Drosophila melanogaster: one gene and its partners. The protein of the gene in region 1 interacts with the protein of each later gene in a biochemical or structural test. Each region holds a gene or a part of one and is shown on either strand. Other genes may lie near its edges.

Region 1 (7,796 bases):
AGTTTCTCAACAAACGGCAGGAGTTCTGGCGCCAACAGCGTCCCTGCACGGCGCTGCCCAACCATAAGAACCTGCCCCATGACGCTCTGCCCAAATGGTTCTAGTCCATCCAGCTGCCCAATACTACTGACTTGTTCAGCTCCCGGTGTTAAGTTTCTGTTTGAATTGAGTTGGCTTGATAAGCTGGTATTGAATAAATAAATCAATTAATTACGAAAACTCTCAGGTAATTTTACTTGACTCTTGTATTGAGTTTTATTAACTTCCAATGCATTTTGCGAATATTCACTTGGAGCAGCGACTACGACGGTCCAACTTTTTTATTTTGTAGTATGCTACTTGGTTAATCTTAGGCGTAACTTCAACTTTTGAACAGAGCAATTGGAATTTCTCAATTACATTGATATATATTTGTAGTCAACTGAAACAGAAATCCGGATGTAGCCTCAAATTGACGGAATACAACGATAGTTTAACAATGTGGAATAATATGTAATTTATCTCAATAGTTGTTCAATAACAATGGATACATGTGTTTGGGTGTGTCGCTCGAATCGGAATCTTTTACAGAGTTCTATTGCTTCTTCAGTTTTTATAACTTTACTTCATAATTTGACTAGTACGGCTATAATTTATTTAAACATTACATTTATGCAGATTAGTGTAATACTTTGTCGCCCATATACTTCATTATATTCATTCTTCGCCCTCGGCAAATCCGGTGCAATTGGGTTGAGTACGTCTGGCCAGTAAGTAAAAAAAAAAAAAAGAGAGTACCGGAGTGGGGTAGTTTGGGCTTTAGCTATGTGGAACTTATTTGTTTACTTTAAATTCAGTTTGATTCCGGCTAGAAACTATCGAAACAAACAAACAGGTAGTAACATAGATTCCATGCGAAGTGCGGATATTGCCAGGAGTTCTCCTCCAGAGTGGCCCAATATATTCGAGTATATATAACATTAAATACAGCGATTCGGAATGCAATCGGAGTGCAAGACAGCGAGCTGTAAATATAGCCATTATATGATTAGTTGCGGATTACGCTTGATATTTCTTGAATTCTTAACCAACCCCGTGTGCGTAGCCTGCAGCTCAGTTGTTGGCGGGTCGCGTGGGCAGCGGTGGAGCATTGCCGCTCCTATTTGGTATGGGTGGTGGGCCCCTGCGATTCGGCAGCGGTGGCGGCGGGCCCATTGGTGCTCCTATCACTGGCGGCGGTCCAGCCGGCGGCGGATGGCGTGGCGCAGGCACATCCTCCTGAATCTCCTCGTAAATATTACTGGCGGTTTCGTAGGCGGTATCAGATGGAATCGGATCCTTGGGCGAACCGACTTGGCGCGTGGGCGTCGAGACGGGTGTGGCCTGCTTGCTCTGCATTTGGCGCGGCGGCGTCGGCGGACCGGAGAGCACAGCTGGAGCTGTGGGCGAAGTCTTTCCCGAAGAGGACGTCGAAGAACTAGCGGATACAAGTTCCGTTGGCGATTGCGATTTGGAGGATGGCGTGGTGTCCATTGCCGGCGGACGAGGCGGCGCCACCTGCGGCTGAAGCGGCGACGGAATTAGAGGTTGAGATTGCGGTTGCGGTGGCATCGGTGGCTTTGCCGGCTTGGGCACAATGCTGATGACCCCGACGTGGGGCAGGTGGCGTGGTGAGTTCTTTGGCGACATAGGCATTGGGGGACGGGCTGGGGGACGTGTGGGCGGCTGCTTGGGCCGCTGGGGCAACTCCGGCGTAATGGCCTGCAGGAGTTGTGCATGCTCTACAGGATTAGCGCACAGCGGTATGGTGTTCGTGGTGCATAGCTCTATCTCGCTGTCCACCAGATGCTGCCAGTCCTTTGACTTCAGCTCCAGGATAAGATCTAATCCGCATACTTGGATACTCTTCTTAGAAGACGCATTTAAAGCCGATTCTCCATCCCGAAATGTGACCCACATGGTGTCCTCCACATAGCGCACCAAAGTGACCTCTCCCATCTTGGATAGCTCGGTAATCAGGGCTGACATCACATTCTCGTCGTATATGGTTGGTCCATCCTCATCTCCAGTTGCTGAAGACTCCAGGACATGTACCACAATCGTGGAGTCCGGCGGACCCAGATCTCGGATAACCTGCTCGAATACAGCACGTCTCCGCTGCTGATCGATCTCCATTATCTCAGCATCAATAATAGCGATCACGGGTCTATGATCACTCTGCTTTAGCTCCGAACGACCGTAGTGAATCAATTTGCCGGGATTCCAGGCTGAGGCAGCAAAGTCGCCCTCGGCCAGCGCCTTCCTGCGACGCCAGAGAACCCGATCTGTCCAGGCGGGCGCTCGCTGTTTCTCCGAGGTGTCGTAGTCGTCGCTGAACAAATCATACTTGTACGTCGGGTCGAAAGTGATCTCTCCCTCGAGGAATTCGCCAAACACATTGCCAGCCTCCTGCTCCTTGCGCAATTGATCGAACTCGAGGACGGTTGAGAGATCTCCATTACGTACGCACTCCTTTAATTCGTCCTTCTCCATGTCGATGCGATAGTTGAAGTCGCCGCACCAAAACACCCAGTCGTGTGATTTTAGCGTCCTGCCCATCGGGAAGGCCAGCTTCCGGGTGATTTCCGCGTAGTCAGCGTTCCTTTCAGCCACCTGTGACTGTCCGGCTGCAAAGTGGGCACACACGAAGCACATGGAAGTACCATGAAGCACAAATCGAATGGCACAGGCACCCTTATTCCCAGTGGCACCACCCAATCCTGTCTTAACACAGTCGATGGCCACGTCCCGGATGTGCGGCGCGTGCTCCGGTCGGATGTAGATGTATAGGCACACGCCCACCAGTTGCTGGTATGTGAGCAGCACGTAGTCATTGTCCCGCGAGATCGTTTTCTGCAGCTCCTCGGCCCACAACTTGGCATTGTCGGTGCTGGCCGCCATTATGTTGGAAGCATTCAGATCCACAATCTCCTCGAATCCAATGGCGTAGATATCCACCGGATGATCGACGTTCTCCGACGGATTGTTCACATCTACAAGCGCCTTGGAGCGGGCAAGGGCATGGCAGTCGAGCAGCCAATCGGCCAGCGAATCCTTGAACACAATGCTGCGGAAGTGCTTGCCGCCGTTGACGTTATAGGTACCCACGGCTACACGTGCCATTCGAGGACGCACATATTCAGTGTAGCGCTTGCATAGCTCTCTCAACACAGTGGTAGGTGCATGCAACATATTGGAGGGCAGTAGGATGCGAGCCCGATCCGCAAGCTCCGAGCTAAGCGTGGAGCCCACTAGCAGGACATCAATGGCTTCCTAAATATGAAAAAACGGGAGTAATGTAAATAATAAATTGAATTTTTAATTGAAAACCACAATGTACCTGCTTTGAGTTGTCCAGTAGGTTATTTTGAATTGTTCTTGCTGCAGATCGCGCACCATCCATTAGTTTTGATCCCCCCTGGATGGCCCCGGTGCCGGCGTAGATCTTGCTGACCTCATTTCCGTTGTTGATCCACATCTGTCGGAAGATCTCCTCAAACCGCGAAATATTCTGCTGCTTGCCGCCCATTTTCAAAGCCTCTAGCTGGATACCGAGCGTGTCAAGCCCGAGATACGTCTGCACACAGTTTGTCCTGTCCAAACAGTCTAGGCAATTCGTGCGCACAACACCGAACTGCTCGCGCAACACCTGACCATTGGACGCGTGGAAGACGCCGTAGTTAGCACCGCAGGCTACGATCCGTTCCTTGAGCTTGGCCAGCGCCGAGAAATTGCCGCCGCGACACTCCTGATGATAGTCAAACACCACATGCGGCACATCCTTGTGGGCTGACATGCCGTGATGACGCTGGAACTCATTACTCAGCATGGCCTCGCCCTCCTTGCTGCCAACAAGGGAGCTGCCTAGCAGATTCACCACCGTCTGATAGCCGTAACGTTGCCTCATCATGCTCATGTGTCGATCAAAGGCGGCGGCCGATGTCTCGAATCCTCGTGATAGCTTCACCTTGTGCGAGCCAACCTGGACGCCTGGCTGTTCCCAGAAGAGTGGCACCGATCCTCGCGTCTGCACATAACTAGTAACATCGCCGTCCACGTAGATCACTTGCTCGGTTTCCACAAAGTTAGCCACATAGCCCTCATCGTTGGTACCACGGACATTGAAACGCGTGCCAGCCCGTTCGCAGCTCAGTCGGGAAATGATGGCGGCACGGGCCTGTTTGGCACCGATGTAGACGGTGCGCACTTCTACGGAGCCGCACATGGCTTGCAACAACCAGGACTGGCAATCGATACCGAAGCGCATCAGGTGGATGTGCATCATGCGATTCCAGAAGAAACGGTTGTCCGTCTCCTGCGTTTGCTGGCGTCGCTGGGCGCAAAGCGTAATATCGAACCGATACGATGACGCTCCGGATGCCGATGCACTGGCATTGGTGTGGGCAAAGTAGAAGGTGCCCGAGTTGAGCAGCTTGCGCACCTCGCTGATCTTGTCTTCGTTGGGCGCTGCATTTTGTAGCGAGACAAAAGTGGTTTGTGTGATCCGGAAGATCTCGATGTCGCCGATCTTGCCCATGGACACACAGCCGGTGACCAGCACCAGGAACAGCACGGTGCTCTCGCCGGCGTTTAGTTGGAGGGCACCCAGACATCCGTAGGCGTCGCAGACCTTGGTGTACTGCTTCCGGATGACATCCGTCTCCTGCTGGGTCAGCAGGGCCACCGCATGGGACTCGAACAGGATGCTGTCGCTCTTGTTCCGATGCTCCAGTAATACGCTGTGCGGCGAGGGGGCAATGGACTTCTCCAGCACACGGATCACCTTGGACATGGCCATCTTGTTGGTATCTCTCTTCCGTGTGTCTTCTTTTGAGTCGAGTAATGTGATTTCGTCCTTTACTGTCTGCAGTTTAAGTTTTGCGTCCAGCTAAAGCTAAGACATCTGTTGGTGGGGAAATACAATTTAATTGTGGGTGTATTTCACAAGTTACATTTTTAAAGGGTGTATCAGTTACATAATAGAGATCTATTATTTTTATAAGAATAGTACTTCGTTTTTAAGGTGTAGGTTTAATATTGGGATTCGTCGTTTGCAATGCTACAATTATAGGACTCATTCGATTTCAATTTATGAGCAACACTTTTAAAACTAATTTATCGTAATATTTTTTTTACTAAGTAATAAGTTATTATCAACTACGCTACATTCGTTGTTTTTTTAAGTTTTAAAAAATATTTTGGTGAGTGTTTTACTTGCTAAGTTAAGTTATTTTGTGCACTTCGTAATAGCTCAAATGAGCTCAAATTTGGGGTTAATTTAATACCACAAAGTTTTTGATTCTTTTAATTTTAGGATTTGCACGAGGTGAGTGGAAATGGGAAAGTTCAACTAGTACAACAGACACTTTGAACCGAAATGGCACTAAAATTTCGGGCGCCTGTTAAAAATCAATAGGCAACTCTTAAACATAAACAAACCGAAAAGCGGAGGAATTTTTCCAATATCTTCCGCCTCCCACTCAAGTTCACCCACACACGCACACACAGCAATGACATGCACCGGCGGCAGCTGTGCTCTCTCTCGCTCTCTCCCACTCACTGCTGGCGCGTGCGTGTGTTTGTGAGTGACTGATAAACATTTTTTGTGCATTCTATGGATTTTTCACGAGAAATTTGCACAGGCATTTGACTGTTTTTAGAGGCAGCCAACGAACGGCATGCTTGGCGACCACTTAAAAGAGGAAACACTAGATTTCACGAAACTATTGGCTCCTCAAATGAATTTTTTACGCCTCTTAATACTCCTAATACCTTTGTTTGCGATTTTATTGCAAAATTCTGGAGAGCTTTGGGTGGTATGACCGTATTTGGTAAGCCGGAAAACGACAGCATTCTATATGGCCTCGATAATTATCGAGCTGTTGACAGAGATCTGCGCGCCGAACTAAAGATTTGAATTTAAATTGTGTACTAAAACATCAAAGTCAAGTGTATTGACCACTTTTGAAGATTACGGCGGACACTTGACGATAGCCCGAGGCTAGGGGCTTCGCTCAGTGCCCTGAAGTATCTGAACCATTTTTCATCAAACTGGGACAAATATAGTCTTTATCTCAATTGTCCCAAAACTGCACACTTTTCAAATTATATGATAAGAAACGACCCAAAAAGTTGGCAATATTTCTGATGCTAAGATTACACTTGCGCTTCTTTCGGCAAACAGGAAGCAATTCAATGCTGTTTTAAGATAATTAGGTCTCAGAAACAACGTTTCATGGAGCTTAGTCACTCAAAATTGCATGCTACGATAGAATGTAGAACGCTTAATCGCCTACTGTTTGCATTGGTCCGTATGCACATATGGAATGTAATGATTATTTATTTATTGTTTCACTATGCTCTGATTTTTTTTTTGGCACTTCTCACGTGCGCACCATGCTCCTCCAATTCGATTAGATAGCCCCATTGCGGACATTTTGAGTAATCTCAATGGTCGCAACAAAACCTCTAATTGTAAATCACAGACAATCGGGTGATTCATTCCAATCCGCCTTATCAGAAACCGGAGGACGCAAATAAATTTGCATTGCATCGCATTCTTTGTGAACCAGAAAAGTAAATAAAGTCAGATTTATATTGGTCATGCTTCTCAGTTTATTCGATAAGTATGTTTGACTAGTTGTAGGCTTAGAATACGAATTGATTTAAAAAATACGCACTAATTACTCAAATACTCGTACATTATTTCCATAGTTCGGCTTACATACATATGTAGCTCTTGGCAAGCGAAGCAACAATTCTAGTCGAAGGGTTTTCGCATTCCCCCCCATATGTTATCTAATCGCTTAACTGAAATTCGAGTGGATTGCCGTGCCTTGGGTACTGATAACGATTGATTAATTTACATAATTCCAGCAAGATATGGCCGCTTTCGGAATTTTTAGCACTCCCCCCAAGTACGTCATTCCGTTTAAATTGCATTTTCGCCCATTTTAGGCAGGGCGGCTGTGCAAAAAAAAAAGTATCAGCAGTCGTTAATAGTGTATGCCCACCAAATATATCATCTACCCCGCCTGGTTCATTTGAATGCGTCTGCGCCTAATTGTTATATTGTTATAACCTAATGCGTAAGCTAAAGGCGTCGGCCTAGGTTGGTTCCGGACCTGCATCGAAGGTCCAACCACATATGTATATATGTATATTTCTCCCTCCCTTTGCCGCTGATATGCCCGCTTCTCGTATCTGTAGTCATTTAATTCATAAATATGTTTTTGTGTCTCTCGCTTGTCATGGCTTAAGTTCATTAAGATAAGGGGCTGGCTGTGTGGAAAGAAATCGAAAGAATTTTCCCCCACACCAATCCCATGCGATCATTTGACTGGAAGGTTCTACGAGCAGCATCTAGAGTACGCTATAATGGTCGCCACCAGCCTGACCCATCACCTCCCACATAACTTAGACACAAACAGGGGCGCAATCGCCGCCAAGCCCGCATTAGGAGCGTAGGGTCGAGTCAAGTGAGTGCGGTGATAATTACGCTGAAACCGACTATGGTCGATGGTGTGACTCAGCCAAACGTTTCTCACCTATTTGGCCAAAAGGCCCCTGAGTCAGCTAACTGATAAGAGGGGGGATCTATGAGAAACGATACTGTAAATAAACATCAATCAGAACCTAATGGGTTTTCATTCTCACGATCGTTTCGATTCGATTCGATTCGATTTGATTTGATTTATTCAATGGCATTCCCTTTTGGCGCCTATGTACAGCAGCTGGGGCAAACAAAAAACAACACAAACAACTTAACTAAAAATAAT
Region 2 (4,715 bases), on another chromosome or scaffold:
TATTTATTTATTTTTTTTCGGCTGTTGTCAACCGAGGCGGCAGACGACGTCAATCGAAGCCAACTGCAAATGGCTGGCTGCGGGGGAACGGTGACGCTGTTGGGGGAATTGACCCCACGAACGGGTCAAGGACAAACGTATCTTTAGCCCAGCTCAACGCCACAAATATCCGCTGTCAGCAGATAGTCAGACAGCCGAAAAAAGAAAGCCACAAGACGAGAAAAGCCCCCGACGAAATTCCGATCGACATATAAGCGTAAATAAAAAAAAAAGAAGAAAGAAATCGGGATGGATGGATGCCAAGGTTCCTTCGTAGTTTTGCAGACTACAAGAACAACATCATCGCAATGGTAATTGATAAGGTAGACAGTTACATAAACTAGATAGAATATACTTTTTGAAATGATATGGAATCTTGCCAAGCTAAAATATCAATAGAATCACTATTTACTAATGCAAATGAAAACAGAAAAGTTATGTGCATTGTAACGACAAGAGAACCTGGTAAACATGATCCAAACTCAATATTGCCACGATAAACATAGGATTTTATGATCAAATATCCAATTATCAATTGGTTCTCATATGTTTTGCTTGTAGATTAACCAGATTAAACGCCAGTTATGGGCCACACTCACCTCGTTGATGTGCTTGTAGGTCTTTATCAGATCGACACTCAGCTTGCGCAAAGGTCCCGAGGCGGGCTCCCGAAAGTGGTTGGGAATCCGGGCCTGCATGGCGCGCACCTCCGACGAAGACGAGGGACTAGAGTGCTGTGGAATGAGATGGAGAACGTATTACTCAAACTGTTCAATAAAGTGATGCCCAGCTAGCTTTGGCTCAGATCGTGCTCAGATCAAATCATTTTTATTTTGAACACAATCTCTTTAATTTCTTAAAACAACATTATTAATGTACTTGCTAAGCTTCGTTATTAACATAAATACGCAGTCTTAATGGCCGCATTGAGAAAGGCAAAACCAGTCCTGAAAAATACCATTCTTTGTTCTTCCGAGGGCGCGGCTTTCTCAAATGCGCCATAAACCTTTCTAATTGCATGTTTTAATTTAAGTAGAGCATGGGAAAAAGTAAGTTCATATTCAACGAAGTAAAGTTATCTTTTACACGGCTCCGTTGAAATATTTGTGGATTTTTTCTAAACAAAAAATGTTCTACAATTTCTAAAAGAAAGAAACACAACTTCTGCATGTCCTTTGTGTGTAAATGCATGTTTTGGATTGAAGATAAGGATAATGCTAGTTGATAATACTCACATGGTGCATGACATCCCGGTGCGTGGCAGGCAGATCCTCTGCGTCGACGAATCGCCCGTAGAGTGGGGCGTGGCGCTGTCTTCCGCCCCCGCTTCCGCTGCCCTGCGCTGCGTCGACGCTGCCGCCGCTGGACCCATAAGCGGACACTAGAGCGTAAGAGAAAGGAAGAGATCAGAGATACTATCAGATATCGGCGGGAATTATACAAATATATATGTGTGTATATATAATTATTGCGATGTATTTGCTTGCCGCCTTCGTTGTGCGCCGTTCTGTGCTGGTTCATTGACCGGATCGCTCGGACACCGCTCCTCTGCAAAATGCACCTGTTTTCTTGCACACCTGACTACGTCAGCGTCAAGAGTTGCCAAAACGATAATAAAAGCAAAGGGTAGGGCGAAAAGTGTGGACACACACCGCAGGAAAAACACTGCCAATTCCCATTTAAGATCTGATATAGAGCCAGCCCAGAGTCATGCATTCTTTTTTTAACTCAAGATGCAAAATTCGTTCTAAAATTAGTTGTTGAATTGGTGGTCATACTAGTGAGTTAAAGATAGTAAGCACATGATGCTGCCATATAAAAAAAAACGAATTGGAACATTTCTCTTCCTTTCCGAAGAATCTACTTTTGCTAGCAATATTTTTTTCCTGTGCATTGGCAGGCCAGCAGAGGTAAGTAAAAAAGAAGCTCTACCTTAATTTTAGAACCAGACGGAACTGAACTGAAATTATTACACAATATGCAGGCGCAGATACATAATTCTGCCGTTTGTAGATTCTATTTCCCCACGTTCCTATGACCATTTCACATGCTCACTCTTTTTGTTTTGTTGCTCTTCGCTCTTCGTTCGCTGATGGCTTGTGCAACAAAAATAGACCCAACGTTATAAACAAGAATGAAAAAATCAAGCAACAGGGTAAAACCTGTAAGTGGCAGCAGCTGTGTTTTCGATGATAATCCGCGACATTTGATATTCCAACACTCCATTTCTAATTTCCAAAAAAACATGTGGCGAGAGCAAAGATACTTTTCCTTTCTATTCGTTGACTAATTGTGCAAACGCAAAAAAAAAAGTTGTCGGTCAGTTAAACTGACATGCAACAAATTTTTCTAGGCCAACTTCTCTGTTTCATCCAATGGGCTTACTAGTATAATAGAGTGCCCGTTCCGCCTTCATTCTCGATGATGATGATGACGATCCCTGAACCATCAGCACATTGCCATCGACCCGATCTCTATCTCTATCTCCATCTTCATCTACATCCCGCTTCACATCCAACAGCACCGTGTCCCAGGCACTTTTGGGCAGGAATTTAGAGATGATCTGATGGCCAGCGTCGTCGTCATCCGCCTGATCCTGATTGCCATTTGTTGGCCAATTTCTGACACGATGCTGGCAGCCAATTTGCGCCAAATAATTGATGTAATGAGGCGGATGATGGTGATTGTGGTGGCCGTTGTGCGGATGGTGGTTCAAGCTGCTGCTGCTGCTGGTGATGATGCTGCTACTGAAGCTGCCACCAGCTGCTGCACCAACCACGAATGGCGCCCAATCCGCGGTGGCCTTGTCAACCGGATCGCCGCCATTCATTGACTGCCAATAAACCAGGGCCGTCGACATATCACTGGCAATCGGAATCGCAATCGGAATCGCGAACGCACTTTGCACTAACCGCTTCCTTTTTTCAATCAAAATGATATGCTTATTTCGTTTATTTTTATATAGTTTATTTAAGTAATTTAAGATCCATTTGGATCTGGCTGTATGAAGCGCGGTCTGTTTCGTGTGAAAATTCAGCGCAAACTGCCTCGGTTTTTGTTCCCCCAGTTCTGTCCCCAAAGTTTGCCACTCGTCGTTGTTGTTGTTGTTGTCGTCTGTTTTATTTATACGGAACCGTGTTTTCTCCCTGCTCTTTTATTTCACTTGGTGTTTTTGCACTTTTTTGCTGCACTTATGCGGAACACACGAACGAAGCCGAGCGCCGATAGCGAGATTGCAGCAACGATCATCACGATCTCGGCGTGGTAATGATCATGAAGCTAAAGTAGGGAATGCCCGGCTATCTGGCATCGGAATTCGCTATATTAACACTACACTAGACTCGTTCAGTGTTGCACAATTGCATTTGAGTAAATGGGAAATAGAAAAATCTCTTGGTGATATCTCTTGGTCAAATCCATACCTTTCGACCTTTGTTTCGGAGTGCACATCTCTGGTGTTGAAGAAGCTCAACTGATTGAAACAGTGTTGGGTAAATACCTTTCAGTATCTCCATATTGATCACAGAGTTACTTGCACTTGCTTGTGATTAACCACAAACGAATAAATCGGTTTTCTTAGGTATTCTCCCCCATTATTGTTGGTGAAAAGCTCACTTCTGGCTGGCCTTTTGTTTTCTATCACAAGTGTTTTTTTTGACAGAGGGAGTTCCGCTTTTCGTTGATAATGGCATTTCAATAATGACATGTAGCGTAGTGACATGTAGCGAATGCATGTGGGGTAAATGGGGGAACGCTGGGTGGTTGTGGGTGGGAAAGTGCTCGCACTTGTCTCGTGCGCGCAAAGATACAAATATACATACATACATACATACATACATATGTAAGTATGCATTTCTTTGTTTCGGCTTTTGCGTCGTCGGCAAGTCAAGGAAATCAAAACAAAGCAAACGAAATGTGAAATTAAAATAAAATGTAATTAACCCCAGGCAAAAAGTGTGTGTACATAATGCAGTGCGTTACAAAACTGTATAACTGGTTGAGCTGCCACTTGGCAGAGTGGGCCATAAAAATAGGAAATCGTTTTCGAAACTAAAATGCCCAGTAATGCCAAACGATTTTGAAATAATTATAAACTTGTGTTCTTTCGAGTTATGTAAATGTCTGTCTACACGCCAAGCTAATTTGTGTTTTCCATTTCGCCAAAGCAATTAAAAAATATTTTGCTTTTATAATAAACAAATTGAACGCTTGCCAATCGATGGAAGAGTTGAATAATTAATGCGTTCGGGGCCCCTCGAAAGATTCGCAGGAGCATAGCCACCAGTCCCTCTATTTATAGGGATCCCATCCGATCCGATCCGATCCGATCCTCCGTTCGCAATGTGGGATCTTTGCCCCAAAGTTCTCATGTTCGTTGTTTGTCTGTCGCGTCTCTCGGCCGAAAATAAAAATAGTTGACGACATTTTGCGTTCGCTCCCCGCCACCTTTTTGGCCACTTGCATTTTGGGCGAGGAATGAGGGGGGGGGGGGGGATAGGGCCACTACCAACAATCACACACCATCGATAATTGCATCCGGAGCAGGTGACTCACATCGTGACGTGACTGCGACTGTAATACTACTATTACCCACCACTTGACAACTTTATGAACAGATGGCGGCGCCAGCTAATCGGATACTAAAGTCTCGACATATTTGGCAAATAATGGGGAAG
Region 3 (4,680 bases), on another chromosome or scaffold:
CCAGTGCGGAGATATCATTGCTCGCAACTGCGTAGGGATCGGTGACAGTCGTACCCGTCTCCTCCCAAGCACTGGAAGAGCCTGTGTCCCAGGCCGACGATACACTAGTTTCGTTCTTTCGATTGTACTTCAATTCCAGCACCGAGGTGCGCTGCACATCGTATTCCTTGTACAGATCCTCGCACTTTGTGATTAGAGCGGAGAGCTCGGCCTTGAGCTCAGACATCTGTACATCATTAGTGTTGATGTCCTCCTTCTTTGACTCAATCTCTTTACTGATATTCTCGACTTTATCCTTTATTTGGTTAATAATTAACTGTTGAAAAAGGTAAATAGTATTTTAGAGAATCCGTTGAATACTAAAACTTTACGTATATGCCAAAGCTCACCTGCTTGTGGGCGAATGCGGCATTCAGTTGCTCCTGCTGCGCATTCTCCCCTCCCAAGGCAGCCCCGCTGGCCTTGCTCTTGGCCTCCCACTTGGCCCTCTCTTGGGTGAGCTGAAGCAGTTTAGCGTTCTGTTCCTTAATCCGCGCTTTCAGCTGCGACATTTCGGACATGGAAGTGTCGCGCTGGGTGCGCATTCCGTCGATAACGGTCTTTACGTTTGTCACGCCGGCACGAGTGTCGCAAATCCTCTGCGAAAGCTCCTTGATCTGTAATTAAGCCGAGTTAGTTAGATAGGCCAGCCATATAGATTAGTTGTACTTTAAGAACATTACTTTTTCATTCAGTGTGCTGAGCTCCACATTAAGCTGGGTGTTGTGTGCCTTCTGCTTTAGAACACGTTCTTGTTCCCTCTCCTTCTGTGCGTTCATTTCGGCAATTCTAGCCTGCTCCCATTCCTGCTGGCGCTGCTTCTCAAGCTCCCTGATACAATAGAAATTGTATACATTGTTTTGTCGCTCAAAGCAAGATAAAAGTCCTTACTTTCTGGCCGCCTCCTTAGCCTCCAGTTCCCTCTTGCGCTGCTCCTCCTTCTCCATCTCAATCTCTCGCTGGCGTTGGAGCTGTCGCTCTAGTTCCTCCTGCTGCTTACGCTCGGCCTCCAAACGAGCCTTTTCACGCTTATCAGCCTCTTCACGCTCCTTTCGCTCTCTCTCTTCCCGCTCCTTGCGCTGCTGGTCCTCCATAATTTTGCGCCTACGATCCAGCTCTGCTTGACCCTTAACATAATTCTCCTTTCGCTTGTCTTCGAAGGAAGCTGGTGAACGCGAAATCACAAGTGTTAATATATGGAATATATTCACATGTTTGGCAACGGAGTTAATTAAGCACTTACTTTGTCCAGGTAGTCCGGCTGTTGGGTCAGCATCCACGACTCCCACTCCGCTTTGGGATGAAACAGATGCGTGTCGGGAGGCCGGCTGTGAGCCAGGACGGGATACCACCCCTGAGACCGATCCCGGTCGCGATTTTATTTTGCGCAAGTTGGGCGGTACCCATTCCTGGGGCAAGGTAACCGGAATTTTCTCACCAGCCATGGCCTTCTCGCATAGGAACATGGCAAGAATAAACTCGTCGCAGTTCAGCCGTCCATCGCCGTCGATGTCGGACAGCGTCCAGATTTGGGCCAGCGTGACCTGGGGTAACTTGCTCTGTACGAGAACGCCGCGTGCCTGGGATCCAGTTAAGTAACCAGATCGGGTGCGATCATTAGCATTGAACACCTGCGTGTATTTACGCTTTTGGGCAGCTTGAACGGCCCATTCTCCTTGGTTGCTAAAAGGATAGAAGTTGATTGAGGAGTTAAGAACAGATACGATATTATATATATGTTTTTGCTAATATTTCAATAACTAAGAATATTTGAAATTTAATTAATTAAATTATCTCTTCTTTGCTACATTAATAATATTAAATCATTAATTCGATTCTAAGTGATGCTTACACAGACTCGATCGATGGCGCTCGCTCTGAGATAGACGTGTGGCGACTAGGTGGATTGCTGGTGGGGGGTGTGGGGCCAGACGGCACTGAGACTCCAGGCGGTGAAATGACAGTAGCCACAGCCACCGGTGGAGCCACAACGGGAACAACTGGAGCTACTGCCGGAACTATTCCCTTGAGTGGATCCAAAGGGCTCAAGGAGCTTGTGGAGCCACGTGGCGTCATCGAGGGGACATCGCCGGTAAGAGACGACAGCAGGCTGGGAGGAAGAACCTTGGGAACGTCCATGCCGCGCAACTTGAGGTTGATAAGCTTGCAGGCTATGCTGAACTCATTGATGTTCATCTTGCCGTCGGAATCAGTGTCCGCCAGAGCCCTGGAGATAAGAAAATGAGTAAGAATTAACACTCTTATCGGTGGATGATTCATGGGGGCGTAATATACATACCATATTTGGCCCAGGATCAGGGGCGGCAGCTGGGACTGCAGGAAGAACCCTTTGGCCTGGGCGCCGGTAACGAATCCTGCCTGCGGCTGGAGTGCCCTAAACTGTTCCTGGTACTTCAAACGCTCCCTCGGGGTCACAGCCCACGCATCCACCGCCGAGTTCATTTTGGGCAAACACTTTATCCTAGTTTCCACGGAAAGCTCTTCCTCTTTATCGTCCTTTTTCCGTATGCGTGTGTATTAGTGCGCTCTCTTCGGCTACTTTTGAGTACACATCAAATACAAACTCTTTCGCTCCGCACTCTTTTCGCCGCTCTCTTTACTACGTCTATCGCCTATTCAGTATCCACCACCCCCACAAATTTTCACAATGGATTTTTATGGTTTACCTATAAAGCATTTCCAAAAATATTAAGCGATCTCAATGGACAGGTTGTAAAGATAGATTGCCCCCTTTACTCGCTTTCTGAAGGTTTTAGTTTCTCTTTAGTAGGCGTTTTCACTTGTCAACCGCATAGCCACGAATTAACTGATAAGTAATGATGTGGTATGGTCCCCGCCAACGCACACGTTATTCTCTTATATATCCCTCTTAACTGTAATTTTGTTGCTTACTTTTCATCGGAACAAGAAAATTTTGTATTTGCGTAAATTTTAATCAATATTTTATATGATAGGATCCTATATCGACGAACGATAGGCTCCGATAGGTACGGACTAATAATCGAAGGAGGGTGACCGTCGCTTGTTTCTGTGATTATAGCAAGCAAGTGTTGAAAAGTACGGTGACCTTAAGTTGGATGTGACTATTCTGCAACGTTTTTGTTTTTAGCCGCTAACGGATTTTTAAATAAATGAAACAACTACTGACTATGAGTAATATATTAATTATATTACTTCTACAGTGAACCTCATAAAAATTATGTCGGCAGTATGATGCATTTAACACAATACGAAAATGTATACCTAACCAAAACATCAACAGATCGCAATAAACAAAATCGAAGATTAAAATTCGAATATCCAAAATTATAAGAAAATGTTAAGTACAAGTCAGTTAAATTATTTCAACTATTTTTTTCTTTTATTGTCTTTAATATTTCTATACAATTAAAAATGACAATTATTCAGAAATCTTTTGTTCCGGATTTAACGGAATTGTTAATAATAGCATCAATAACATTTGTGTATGAAAATGTCAAACAGTTTTTATTCGTTGACAGTTCATGACAGACAACCCTCTAATTGGCGTTTCATTAATTTAAAATTGCGCGATGGAAAAAGATGTATACCAAATTTGTATTCACCATCTATTTTCAAACATTGTTATATTAACTGAAATGACAAAATCACAATATTAAACAATTTTCTAACAAATTACGATTTTATACAAATGTGAATATATTTCCGAAACAAACTATTTGCACTATAACTAAGTCCTGTAATTAAGATCATGGTTCAGTATGAATGAGTTACAAATTTTATTAAGTGTGCATGTGATATATCGCACATTAGCTATCGAAAGTTATCATGAATCTGCACTGTTTTAAAGACGCAACTATATCGATAATATCGCAAATAGTTCTATTTCTATTTTACCGCCTCTAATTCTTTTATTTCGACCACGTGCTGCTATTGGTAATGTCCGTACCGTGAAATTTTTCTGAAACTCATGTAACAAAATGTCGGAAACTTCAGAGGACGAACAGACGCAGCTACAAACGAGTGACGAAGAGGAGGATCTAGGTAGCGAGGAGGAGCAGGAAGATGAAGATAACAATCATAAGGAAGGGGACAGCGAGGCGGCACTAAGTGGTGAAGATGATAAAGGCTCCGAGGACGACGCAGCCGAGGAACAGAAGCTAACCTGGAAAGATCTCGTATGAGCCCCACTATTAATTTAAATTAAAATTTAATCGAATGGCCATATTTCTTCAAAGGGTCTCAATGAGGCTTTGTGTCAAGCATGTGACGAATTGAAGTGGAAGGCGCCTTCGAAGATCCAACGTGAGGCCATTCCGGTCGCCTTACAGGGCAAGGATGTAATTGGCCTAGCGGAGACCGGTTCCGGCAAGACGGGCGCCTTCGCTCTGCCAATTTTACACGCCCTTCTCGAGAATCCGCAGCGGTATTTTGCCCTCGTGCTAACCCCCACGAGGGAACTGGCATTTCAAATTGGCGAGCAGTTTGAAGCCCTTGGTGAGTTTTCGCATAGTTTATGTGCTTTTAATTCGCAGTGATGTTAAACCTGTTTTGATTTTGTGTATCAACGAAAATATGAAATTATAATTTTCTTATTCGTCACTACCTCTGAGTAAAAAAACCTTCCCATTTATCGTATTC

What was found.
Region 2: of the proteins of Synj (region 1) and mnb, one has a biochemical effect on the other in vitro, tested with the Drosophila melanogaster proteins (one study listed by BioGRID).
Region 3: the proteins of Synj (region 1) and Dap160 interact in far-western blotting, tested with the Drosophila melanogaster proteins (one study listed by BioGRID).

The regions. Positions count from the first base shown.
Region 1 is NT_033778.4:22,078,200-22,085,995, reverse strand, and holds Synj (synaptojanin), read right to left. Parts: upstream 5,821-7,796; 5' UTR 5,791-5,820; intron 5,554-5,790; exon of another isoform or gene 5,458-5,553; intron 5,312-5,457; exon of another isoform or gene 5,233-5,311; intron 4,922-5,232; 5' UTR 4,817-4,921; coding exon 3,359-4,816; intron 3,292-3,358; coding exon 1,093-3,291; 3' UTR 1,072-1,092; intron 1,005-1,071; 3' UTR 575-1,004; downstream 1-574. Other genes in the region: CG13502 (uncharacterized protein), read left to right, coding at 1-104.
Region 2 is NC_004354.4:17,871,981-17,876,695, forward strand, and holds the start of mnb (minibrain), read right to left. Parts: upstream 3,061-4,715; 5' UTR 2,900-3,060; coding exon 2,425-2,899; intron 1,421-2,424; coding exon 1,275-1,420; intron 774-1,274; coding exon 639-773; intron 1-638. UniProt on the Drosophila melanogaster protein: Role in the specific control of proper proliferation of optic lobe neuronal progeny.
Region 3 is NT_033779.5:21,139,287-21,143,966, forward strand, and holds the start of Dap160 (dynamin associated protein 160), read right to left. Parts: upstream 3,062-4,680; 5' UTR 2,953-3,061; intron 2,727-2,952; 5' UTR 2,503-2,726; coding exon 2,339-2,502; intron 2,267-2,338; coding exon 1,892-2,266; intron 1,723-1,891; coding exon 1,283-1,722; intron 1,205-1,282; coding exon of another isoform or gene 1,193-1,204; coding exon 931-1,192; intron 871-930; coding exon 723-870; intron 657-722; coding exon 390-656; intron 317-389; coding exon 1-316. Other genes in the region: pths (porthos), read left to right, coding at 4,020-4,217, 4,278-4,536.